Linked DNA regions of Alligator mississippiensis. The main gene of each other region encodes a partner of the protein of the gene in region 2 in a complex. Links are inferred from orthologs where the notes say so. Each region holds a gene or a part of one and is shown on either strand. Other genes may lie near its edges.

Region 1 (3,743 bases), on a different chromosome or scaffold from region 2:
AGAAGTTTTTTGTTATGGGAAATAATCCTATTGTTAGTAAAATAACCTTCAGAAAGCAAGATTGGAGAGATTTTGGATGGCTCCAGTTATGAATTGCCTTCTGTTATGCACTCGTATATGACACCTCTTACTTGAGAAGTACCTATCTACCCCAGGGTTGCTACCTTCCAAGTAGCTGGACTCCTTTCACTTTGATTCACATGCCTCTTGGTCTTTTACCTACTTCACTCCTTAAGCCAGTGATTCTTGATCAGGATGATGAGATCCTTTCAGGGGTGTCACACATTAGCACTGGTGGGTGTGGAAACATGAATCACAAGATAAACCCAGAGTCCAAATGGGAATCTATGGCATTAAATACATTCTGATCTGTTGTAGTTTGAGTTCTTGGCAACAGAATTGGAGAGGTGCCTTGAGTCTAAAAAAGTTGAGAACCACAGCCCTAGGCATTCCTACTCCCCCCATATTATCACTATCCATTGCTTCCCTTTTCCTCTCCCATGTCCTGTCTTTTCCAGCTCCTTCTTCTGCATCTCTGTCCACCTACAACTCCCCAACAGCTTTCTCTTCAACCCCTAACCTTGCAGGCCTTGGTTCTCCTTTACAGAAACAGAGACACGGCTGTTTTACAAAGCAACTAGCCTGAGCCTTCTCCTAATAGAGCTGGCCCACGTTTTCTCCAGGGTAAGAGGCTGCTACTTTCTCCCACTTCTCAGGGATCCTGTTTTGAGCTGGGTGAGGGCTGCCTCTTCTTTTTGAGGACAAGATCCGGAAAAGTCCCGCCAAAGAGAGCATGGGCTTCTTCCCTTTCTTTTTTTTTAAACACTGTGCAGTTAAGACTCCTCAAGACAAGGGAAGGGGGGAAACAAAGGGCATCATTCATTTGGGGTCTGGCTGGCACAGCTAGCCCCAAATTCAAATGCAGTCCCTCCCTGACTGCAGCCAGATGGTGTAAATCGGAAGAGCCAGGAGGCTGCTCTAATCTGTGACTGGGCATATAAATAGGTGCCCTCATGCTTTTCAGCTTCTTCTTTGACTCCTCTCCAGGGTAGGGGGGAGAGAGGAGTCATTGAAAGGGCCCTGCCCTAGGTTCAAATGAAAGATGGATAGACACCATGAGGCATGTTGCAGCACTGCCTTCCTAGCCGACTGGCTCTTCTTTGGAGCTGGACAGTCCTTTTGGGGGGGGCATGACTTTGCACCTGTGGCCCAAGTTTACTAGTCAGTCGTGCAGAGCATGCACTGTGTGACAGGGACCATCGTGCCTGTCACAGGGGGGCGGCCAGGGCAGCCCGTTTGCACAGCCCAGGTCCCTCTCGGCTGCAGGAGACCTCTCCGCGCCCCCTCCTCCCCGCAGTTTTGGGCGGGAAGGGCTGGGCCGCGCCGGGGCCCAGGGGAGGGCGAGAGGGAGCGCGGGGCCGGGCAGCGACGGCGGCGGCGCCTTGCCCGAGCAAAGCAGAGCAGAGCAGAGCAGAGCAGAGCAGCGAAGTTCAGGAGGGAGCAGGCGCCGCCGCCGCCTCCTCCTCCGCCGCCTGCTCAGCCCCGGGCGGGCGCGGGGCGTCCATGCGCGCGGCGGCGGCGGCGGGGCGCAGCGTTCAGCCGCGGAGCCGCCCGCTGCACGGGGGACATGGAGGCGGCGGGGAAGCAGCCGCCTGCAGCGCAGCAGCGGGAGCGCCCGGCCAGCCTGCTCGTCCCCACCTGGGCAAGTAACCCCGCCGCGGGCTCGGGCGCGGGCGGGTCGCACGACGGGGGCTGGCCGTGCTTGCCTGGGCAGAGCCGCTGCCCCTCCGCACGGCGCCGTCCAGCCCCCCTGGGAGCCGGGCCGGGCCGGGCCGGGCCGGGCTCTCCCCGCCGCCCCGAAGACGGGAAACTTCCCCGCGCCGCTGCGCCAAGTCGCCGGGAAGTTGTGGCGGGGGAAGCCCGGCCCGGGGCGCGCTGCAGACCCAGGGGCTGCGCCTGCCTCCGGCCCGGCCGAGACCCCCGAGCGGAGGGAGGCTGTCGTGTCCGGCCGGCCGGACCTCAGGTCCAATACTGACCGTGTGCGCGCACGCCTGCGACCCAAATACTGAGTGTGCGTGTGTGTGCGTCTCCCCAAGACCCCAGACCAGTCTGTGTACATCTCTCAGACCCAAATATTAAATGTGCGTGTGTGTGCGAGTCTCTTAAGACCCAAATCTTCTGTGTGTGTGTCAGTAAGACCCAAGTAATAAGTGTGGATGGGTGTGTGTCCCTAAGACCCAATATGGGGTGGGTGGGTGTGTGTGTGTGTGTGTGTGTGTGTGTGTGTGTGTGTTCATGTATCCCTAGGTCCCAAATATTAAGTGTGTGTGTGTGTGTGTGTCCAAGTCCCAACTAGTGTGTGTGTGTGTGTGTAAGCTCTGGTTAGTGCATTAAAATAAGACTACAGAAAGTTATTTATTCACCATTGAAAAGTAGAAAAAAAATGTTTCTTGCCATGAGTGAGGGCATCACTTTTTAAGTGAGTCACTGAATGCCTTTGGATGTGGCTTTCTGCCTGTATTGCCCTTCATTGAGCCAGCTGCTAAATGCCAATGAAAGTGCACTCCTCCTTTGCATGACTATGTACTTTAAATTCTTAGCAATATGCTGTAATGTTAAAGCCAGGCACCTGTTTGTGAGTGTGTTTTAACACATACTTGAATTGTTTGAATTTTTTTGAATTTTTCAATTGTAGTTTAATCATATCATATGCGATTCATACAGTCAGAGTGCCATGCTGAGCAAATATTATTTCTGTATTCTAAAGTGTATACTTTTATATGCATTGAGAACCAACAGCTGATTAGGGAGTTGGAGGGGCAGGCTTATCACCACATATTTAAAAAACATATTTTTATAAATGATGCCCTCTGATGGTTGATCTCCACTATCCCTGATTGAATAAATGAAAGCAGTCTGGTATCCCTGGTTTGAAGAGCTCTGTTCCATGATTATAAGGGACTTTAACTATGAACAATATGATGTTCTTCATAGGGCATGAGTAAAATTTATGATAGTCTTTAAGTACAGTTGATAGTCTTATTAATCATCTAGAAATAATTTTATTATAAACACAGTGCATAAAACTGATTGCTTTTGTTGAAATATATAAGCATCCCACTTATTTATGCCCTGTCCTGATATCTTAAATTAGTTATTTACATGGCTTCTAATGACATGCTATCCTTGAACTCAGCTAGTATTTTTTTTTTTTAGAGAAACTTAAGTATTTCTATCTTCTTTCCAATGTTTTTTCTAAAAGCTCTGTTCCTTTTTTCTTTACCCTTAAGTGGATGAAGCATCCACTAGCATCTAGCATCAATAAACTAGCATCAATAAACATTTTGATTATTTTTGTGAGCTTCAGTAATTTTTAAACAATAGATCTAAATATAGAAATCTATGATTTAGATATGCTGAGAATGTGAGTGACAACTAATAGAAGTTGGTCAAGCAACTGAAAATTTTGCTTTATATATAACAGAAGTGTCTAGCTTTAGCACGTGTATATTTTCTGAATGTATCCCTGTATCTGTGAGGAGATTGCTGTATTCATTAATATGTTAAACGATTCACAAGCAAATGATAGCTTTAAATGTGGAAAATTCTGAATTGGGCTTAAGACATGTTATTCCACAGCTTTTAATTTGAAAGCCATGTTCTAACTTGTGAATAATCTATGCAGCAATTATCTTAAAATTTTACCTATTGCGTAGGTTGGAAACTAATGCATGACAGTTTGG
Region 2 (3,743 bases):
CTGTTCCTCTCTCCCTTGCAGCCTCCAGCATTTCGGGTCTGATTCGGAGGTCGTGCCCCTCACTCTCATGCTCAATAGTGACCCCCAAATATGTGTCCAGTCCCTTTGTGAATGTGGTTGAACTCTCAGCGTCCACCGCCTCTGGTGGCAACGACCCCCAGCCTTTAATGATGCGCTGGGGGAAAACGAACTTCCTTATGTTCATTTTAAACCGACGACCTGCTCGTTTTACCGTGCGACCCCTCGTTCTCATCTTGCGAGCGAGAGCCAGTAACAAATCCCCGTTGACTTCCTCTTCGCCATTTAGTTTTGTGTAAACCCTCGTCATGTCGTCCCCCCCCCCATGGCCTCTCCTTCCCGCACTGAGCAGCTCTGGCCTCATCGGGAAGCCCCTCCATGCCGCTCATCATCCCCGTCGCCCTTCTCTGGGCCTTAAACAACCTGCTGTGAGGCTGGGAGAACGGGCTGGCGTCCAAAGCAATTCAGATGGGAGAGGTTCATAGATTCATAGATGTTAGGGTCGGAAGGGACCTCAATAGATCATCGAGTCCGACCCCCTGCATGGGCAGGAAAGAGTGCTGGGTCTAGATGACCCCAGCTAGATGCTCATCTAACCTCCTCTTGAAGACCCCCAGGGCAGGGGAGAGCACCACCTCCCTTGGGAGCCCGTTCCACACCTTGGCCACTGGAACTGTGAAGTTCTTCCTAATGTCCAGTCTAAGGAGAGGGGTCTAAAGCAGTTCAGGTTGGAGAGGGGTCTAAAAATTCAGATGGGAGAAGAGTCTAAAACAATTCAGGTGGGAGAGGGGTCCAAAGCAGTTCAGGTGTGCGCGGGGTGCCGCGGGGCCGGGGGCACGCACGCGTGCAGCGGGTCCGCTTCCCCACCGCCTGCCGGGGCGCGCCGCGACGGGACGGGAGCGCTGCCAGGAGAAACCCAGAGGGTTTTGTACGAGTCCCAGGTCGAATGAGCCCGCTCGGGTCCGACCCGTGCGAGTCGCCGGTAGCGGGGCCACGTGCGAGCATCCTCCGCTCCGCTCCCCTCCGCTCCCCTCCCCCGGCAGCTTGCGAGGCCGAGGGCGCCCGGGCGGGAGGGCGGGCGGGCTGGCAGCCGCGCTCTGCTCCGCCGGGGCCGGGGGCGGGGCGGGGCGGGGCGGGGGGCGGCGCCGTGCCGGCCGGGCGGAGCCGGCTGCAGCCAATGGAGGTGCGGGGGCCGGCGCCGGGCTCCTCCCCGCCGGGGGAGGCCGGTGCCCAATGGGGGCAGCGGGCGGCGGCTCCGAGCAGCTCGCCGCCGCCGCCGCCGGGATGCCGCTGGCGCAGCTGGGCGACCCGTGGCCCGCCGCCGCCGCCGCCGCCGAGGAGCTGGTGCAGCTGGACGCCGAGGTGAGCCGCGCGCCCGCCGCGAAAGTTTGCAGCGGACAAAGGGTCGGGAGGGAGGGGCTGTGCCCTGTCCTTCCCTTCCCTTCCCTTCCCTCTGCCCGCATCTCTGCGGACACCCCCTCTCACCCCCGCCCCCCACCCGCTTCCCGGAGGGCTTTGGAGGGACGGCGGCGTCGCGCCCGTGTGTCGCCGGCCCCCAGCACCGCGTGCGCCCCGAGGCGCCCGCTTCCCTTTACGGAGGGCAGGACGTCTACCCTGACCGCGGGCCGCCGTCGGGCTCTCGGGCGCGTCCAGCGGAGTTTGGGCTGGCCCCCGCGGCGCCGAGTCGCTTGCTGCGGGGTGGGTCGCGTCCTTGCCTCGGGCGCGATCGTGTCTCGCCGTGCCCGCGGTGCCCCCCGCCGCCCCCTCTCCCGAGCGTGTTCGCGGACACGCGCTGGCACCGGGGCACGTCTCGCGAATCTCCGGGGGGGCTAGAAGCCCCGGGGAGGCGCTCGCGGGTGCACGCTCTCCCCTCCCGCTTAATTCAGGCCTCCGATCGAGGTCTTCAGGGACTTGAATGCCGTCTGCCCTCTTAAGGGTGCCGTAGACCACAGAACCGTCCAAGGCAAAGCGCAGGCGTGGGCAACCACCGTGCCGTCCCACCGTGCTCCTTTGCCCGGTTCCTGCGAACGCGAATCGGCCTCTTCGTGGCACGGTCGCCGCGCGTGGGGTTTTTCGTAAGCCCGGATGCTGTTTCTTCCATCTTGCAAGCTGCCCCTGGACGCGGCAGTGTCGTGCTCTGGGCTCGCAGGCTTTCTCACTAAGGTCGACTGGTCCCGACTCTTTGAGAGAGACTCCTCTGTCTTGCAGGTTTGGGAGGGGGAATGGGTGGTCAGAGCTGCTTTTTCACCAGCCACCTCGCAAGACTTGGACTGGATGCTTCACCCCGCTTGCCTGGCAGCAGGGTCACGGGGCTCCACCTGCCGTGGGCTGGACGGGCACCTGCAGCGGGCTACCAGCATCTGCCGTAAAGCTTTTGGAGCCATTAGGATGCGTGTGCGCACCAGGGTGGGAGAAAAGAGTGAGAACTCATTCTGCAACGATTCAATCTCCCTGCCTGATATCACAGAGTGCTTTCAGGCCTGCCCATTGTGGTGAGGCAGCACAGATCCACAAGATAACAGCGTCACAGTAAAACACGACGGCGCTTTAGGCTGTTTTTTTAAATTTTAAGTTGGGAGGCTTCACGTGAAGCCAGACGACGCGATAAAAATAATGGGAGGGGAGAAGCGAACATCCGTGCCCAGTGCTGTTGGCAGGAGTGAGACTTCTGCTTGATCCTACAGACAGACTGTGTTTTTGTGTCTAATGTCTCGCTGCGGTGCCAACACGGGCAATGCTCTGCGTCTGGTCTGCAGGGGTTGGGTTCTTTTGTCTGCTGCATTTGGCGGTTGGAGGTCTCTGAAGTTTGAGAGAAACAGGGCAGAGAGGGAGCTAATGCAATGGCGCATTCTTGCCTATTGCCTCCCAGGTAGCCTACCCAAAAATGCAAGGTCTCCCTTGCGCTTGGCATCTCTAAAACTCAGTCCTATAGCTTCCGGGATCATTTTATTCTGCAGGCCTGAGTTCATTTGCTAACATCCCAACTAGCTCGAGAGGCGGTAGGTATACCCATGTGCTGGATCTCACGTTGCAGAATGGATGGTGTCAATAGCTTTTTGTTTTGCCTCCAAGATTGACTGCCATCTTCTGCGCCGGATGTCAGCATGTTCCCTCTGCGGCAGCGGAGTATCTGTCTGGCCGTGATTGAAAACCTGAGTCTGAGCCATGCCCTGCATGGGCTGAGGTTACTCCAGGGCAGCGGAAGCAAGTGGTCCCTGCTACGGCAGGAAGGTAGTTAAGAAATGGAAGAGACTTTTCTGGAATGTGAGTTACGTAAATCCCCCTGGGATCCTTGCCACAAATGGGCCTCCTCAAACCTTTGCTCTCTGAGTCACGGCACAGAGGTGTTAGTACGGTGCCGCTGGAGAAATCAGCCCCATTGTTCTGTCACGTTAGTAATCTGGTTCTCCGGTGGTCGCAGTCGGGCCTGTTTGGCACAGCAAGCTGGGGGGCTCCCGCGTGGAGCCCTGAGCTGCCTCCTGGGAAGGGGGACGACTGCACCCCGGGAGCCAAAGTGGAGCACGCTTCAGTGCTGGGGAGCTCCCTGGCAGATCGATCCCCCCCTCACACCACCACCTTCTACCCCTGTGATTCGCAACGCTGTTCTGCGCTCCGGCTGGGACAGCGTGCCAGCACTTGAAAGCAAAGTTGAATGGCTTCATTACCATAGTAATGAAAAGCAGCAGTGCTTTTCTTGAAACTCTTGTTTCATTAGACAAACACAC
Region 3 (3,743 bases), on a different chromosome or scaffold from region 2:
GGAGGAGATAGGACTATTTAAGCTGCAGGCACAGGAGCAAATGGGGACGAATAAGTGGATGAGAAAGCTGATCCCTGGAGCAGCCTTCCAGCGGGAGCCGCAAAACTGTGCAGATGGAGTCTGTAACTTTACTGGAAGTGGCTGTCTGCGATCGCAGGGAGCCTGAGAGGAAGGCTGCTCTTGGGATTCATGCCTTCAGCTTTACAGCACCCCTCCCGTGCAAAGCTAGAGGATCCTGGCTGGGGGGGTGGGTCTCAGCCCTTTGCTCAGGGTCACACTCATGCTACTTTGCGGTCAGGAAGGACTTTTATTGGTGCAGATTTTGGGGTGGGGAGTTGTAGCTCTAACCCTAACCCATACTGCTTTGGGGTCAGTTAAGTCTTTAATTGATGCAGATGGGGGGTGGTAGCAGTAGCCTTAACACTAACCCTAACCCATGCTGCTTTGGGGTCAGGAAAGTCTTTAATTGATGCAGATGGGGGGTGGTAGCAGTAGCCTTAACACTAACCCTAACCCACGCTGCTTTGGGGTCAGGACAGACTTTAATTGATGCAGATGGGGGGTGATAGCAGTAGCCTTAACACTAACCCTAACCCAGGCTGCTTTGGGGTCAGGACAGACTTTAATTGATGCAGATGGGGGGTGATAGCAGTAGCCTTAACACTAACCCTAACCCAGGCTGCTTTGGGGTCAGAAAGGACTTTTATTGGTGCAGATGGGGGAGGGGGGAAGGTTGTAGCTCTAACCCTAACCCATGCTGTTTTGGGGTCAGGAAGGACTCTTCACCCCACTGTGGGATTGGTGCAGATGGGAGGGGGGGGGTATATCCCTAATCCTATCCCTACCCCACTTACCTTTGGGTCAGGAAGGACTTCCCCCCATGCTCAGATTGGTTTAGACAGGGGGCTAACCCAAACCCAGGCTGCTTGGGGTCATGGTGAGATGGGTGCAAACTGGTGGGGGGGGGGGGATCTCTCTGGCAGCAGGGGCTGGGGGGGGGGGGTCAGGGTTGCGGTCGTCCTGGAAGTGGGGCAGGGGGTTGCAATCGGGTGCGACCAAAGACAACTTGTTGGGGCAGGGAGCCCGCAGCGCACACACGTGCGGGGGGCGGGGCCGGGCGGGGCGCATGCGCGGGCGGGGGGGGCGGGCGCTGGAACGCGATAGAATGAAGTGTAACAAAACAAGCCGCGTCTTTGTATCGCCTTAAAGGAAGCCGGCGGCGGCGCGGGGGAAGCGCTCGCGTCCCGGCCGGGCCGCCGAGAGGAAGGAGGCGGCGCACAGGGAGGAGGAGGAGAAGGAGAAGGAGGCGGCGCCCGGCTGGCTCCGGGACCCGGCATCGGGGATGGCTTGAGAGAGGCGGGTGGGAGCCCGCAGCCCCCCGCAGCCATGGCCAAGGCGCTGCCGAGGAAGAGCCACTGGACGGGCCGGCTGCAGCGGGGCGCGCTGAGCCGCGGGCCGGGCATCGCGGTGCTGGGCGGCGCGGAGCACGGCGAGTTCGCCTACGTGGGCTCCGTGGACGGCGGCGACGGGGCGCTGCGCCCCGGGGACCTGCTGCTGGAGGTGCGCGGTGTCCGCGTCGCCGGCTTGCCCCGCTACGACGTGCTGGAGCTGCTCCGCGCCGGCGCCGAGCCCGCCACCTTCACCGCCGTGCGACCAGGTACCTACCTACCTACCTGCCTCGGGCACCCACCCTAACCCCGCCCCGCCCCGCCCCGCCAGCCTGGGTGCGCACCAAGTAATCCCCGTGTGGGTTCCTGGGGGGGGGCGCGCCATAAATGAGTGCCCGCCACCCTCCCTCGTGTGCCAAGGTGGCACCCCGTCACCGCGCACGGCACCGGTGGATCAGCGTGCGTGTCACCGGGGTATCGCGCAATAAATGTACACCAGCTGTAGAGTAATTGTGCGATTCAGTGGGGGCCGGCGCAATAAATGTTGACTGGACGTGTGTGTGTAGAGTAATTATGGTGTGATTCAGGGAGGGGGCACGGCGCAATAAGTGTAGAGCGGCTGTGGGTGTAATTATGGTGCGAGTCAGCGGGGGACCACGTGATAAGTGTAGACTGGCTGCGTGTGTAGAGTAAATATGGTATGATTCACTGGGGGGCGGCGCAATAAGTGTAGGCTGGCTGCACGTGTAAAGTCATTATAGTACGATTCAGTGGGGGACAGCGCAATAAGTGTAGACTGGCTGCACGTGTAGAGTAATTGTGCAGTTCACTGGGGGACGGCGCAATAAATGTAGACCGGTTGCATGTGTAGAGTAATTATGGTGTGATTCAGGGAGGGGGCACGACGCAATAAGTGTAGAGTGTCTGTGTGTGTAATTATGGTGCGAGTCAGTGGGGGACCACACGGTAAATGTAGACTGGCTGCGTGTGTAGAGTAAATATGGTATGATTCCCTGGGGGACGGCGCAATAAGTGTAGACCAGCTGTGTGTATAGAGTAATTATGGTGCGATTCAGAAGGGCATCGCGCAATAAGTGTAGAACAGCTGTGTGTATAGAGTAATTATGGCGTGATTCAGTGGGGGACTGCGCAATAAGTGTAGACTGGCTGTGTGCGTAGAGTAATTATCGTGCAATTCACTGGTAAATCGTGCAATAAATGTAGACCGGCCTCATGTGTAAAATAATAGTGCCATTCACTGGTGGATCGTGCAACATGTGTGCATGTGGCATAACTGTCCTGCCCTAAAAATGACTCTCCAGCTATGAAAAGAGCCAGCCAGCTCTACAGGTAAGGCTTGAAAATGCATAGCAGCTCGAGAGCTGGCTTCTCTACGTGGAGCAGAGCCCTCCAAAGCAGAGCAGTTGGTTGTCCCGTTGCCTTGTGATGGTTAAAAGAGTTTAAGCGTGCAACTGCTAGCTGTCTGCTGGGGTTCGGGTCTCAGGTTTGGCACAGGAAAAGATGGGACTCTTTCTTACCACCCCTCCTTGCCGTGATTACACAGCCTGCCTGAAAACCAGACCTCCCTAGCAGTGGGGAGCCCTGCATGGGTTAGGGGACAGGGGAAGGGGCACCTGCACCTCAAGGCCGGCTGCGGGAGACAACAGCAAGGCTCCCGCCGCTGTACGCAGAGCGGACGTGTAACAGGTTAGCAGCACAGGCCTGTTTAATAGGTTCATAGTTTCCAGACCAGGACGTGAATTTTGTGCCAGGAAACTGTTGCTGTTGCAACAGCTGTTATGATTATTTTGCATGCGCAGGATTTGGAAATAAACAGGATTATATTGGAACACCTGTAGGCTTGCAGGGTGCTCCGGCACACCAGGGTCATCTATAAATGGAGGCAGGAAAGGAAGTGCGTTTAGGATAATGCAGTGGATTTCTGGAGGGGAAAGTTTATTACCCCACAAACATGTCCTCATCCCAGGCTAGAGCGGGATTTGCTGTGTTTGGCCAAAGCAGTGATGTCTCGTGTAGCTGATGGGCGGGCAGCAACTACAGACTTGCTCCAAAGAAAATTAATCATACATTTTTTTTTGTGCGTGTGTGTGCGGCTGTTAACCTTCTTGTAAAGCAGCACCGCTAACTTCTCAGCCTCTCTCTCTGCGAGCCCTGTTAAAAACCAGTCTGGTAGGTCACATGCACTTGTTGCACAGAGATTATTTGGACTTCTCGTGCGAGTAAATGACAGTAACGTTGCGTTCTCTTCGGTGCGAGCAGGAAGGAAGCAGGAGTCCGCTTGTGTTTTGCTGTGCCGCACCGTTTAATCTGCACTTGTCATCGTCAGGGATCTCT

The links.
Region 1: the proteins of RPS6KA1 (region 2) and SNTG2 are in contact, whole or in part, in a crystal structure (PDB 7QQL), measured with the Homo sapiens proteins. The link is inferred for Alligator mississippiensis from reciprocal best matches to the Homo sapiens genes RPS6KA1 and SNTG2. Residues at the interface, in NP_002944.2 of Homo sapiens: Pro731, Ser732, Thr733, Thr734, Leu735; in NP_061841.2 of Homo sapiens: Gly82, Gly83, Leu84, Gly85, Leu86, Ser87, Ile88, Lys89, Gly90, His94, Ser101, Lys102, Phe104, His134, Val138, Leu141, Arg142.
Region 3: the proteins of RPS6KA1 (region 2) and MAGI1 are in contact, whole or in part, in a crystal structure (PDB 5N7F), measured with the Homo sapiens proteins. The link is inferred for Alligator mississippiensis from reciprocal best matches to the Homo sapiens genes RPS6KA1 and MAGI1. Residues at the interface, in NP_002944.2 of Homo sapiens: Pro731, Ser732, Thr733, Thr734, Leu735; in NP_001028229.1 of Homo sapiens: Arg480, Gly481, Phe482, Gly483, Phe484, Thr485, Val486, Val487, Gly488, Asp490, Lys499, Ser500, His532, Val536, Phe539, Gln540.

The regions. Positions count from the first base shown.
Region 1 is NC_081824.1:38,799,618-38,803,360, reverse strand, and holds the start of SNTG2 (gamma-2-syntrophin), read left to right. Parts: upstream 1-1,418; 5' UTR 1,419-1,627; coding exon 1,628-1,702; intron 1,703-3,743. UniProt on the Homo sapiens protein: Adapter protein that binds to and probably organizes the subcellular localization of a variety of proteins. May link various receptors to the actin cytoskeleton and the dystrophin glycoprotein complex.
Region 2 is NC_081829.1:3,030,095-3,033,837, reverse strand, and holds the start of RPS6KA1 (ribosomal protein S6 kinase alpha-1), read left to right. Parts: upstream 1-1,233; 5' UTR 1,234-1,251; coding exon 1,252-1,380; intron 1,381-3,743. UniProt on the Homo sapiens protein: Serine/threonine-protein kinase that acts downstream of ERK (MAPK1/ERK2 and MAPK3/ERK1) signaling and mediates mitogenic and stress-induced activation of the transcription factors CREB1, ETV1/ER81 and NR4A1/NUR77, regulates translation through RPS6 and EIF4B phosphorylation, and mediates cellular proliferation, survival, and differentiation by modulating mTOR signaling and repressing pro-apoptotic function of BAD and DAPK1.
Region 3 is NC_081835.1:4,521,243-4,524,985, reverse strand, and holds the start of MAGI1 (membrane-associated guanylate kinase, WW and PDZ domain-containing protein 1), read left to right. Parts: upstream 1-1,172; 5' UTR 1,173-1,386; coding exon 1,387-1,657; intron 1,658-3,743. UniProt on the Homo sapiens protein: Plays a role in coupling actin fibers to cell junctions in endothelial cells, via its interaction with AMOTL2 and CDH5. May regulate acid-induced ASIC3 currents by modulating its expression at the cell surface.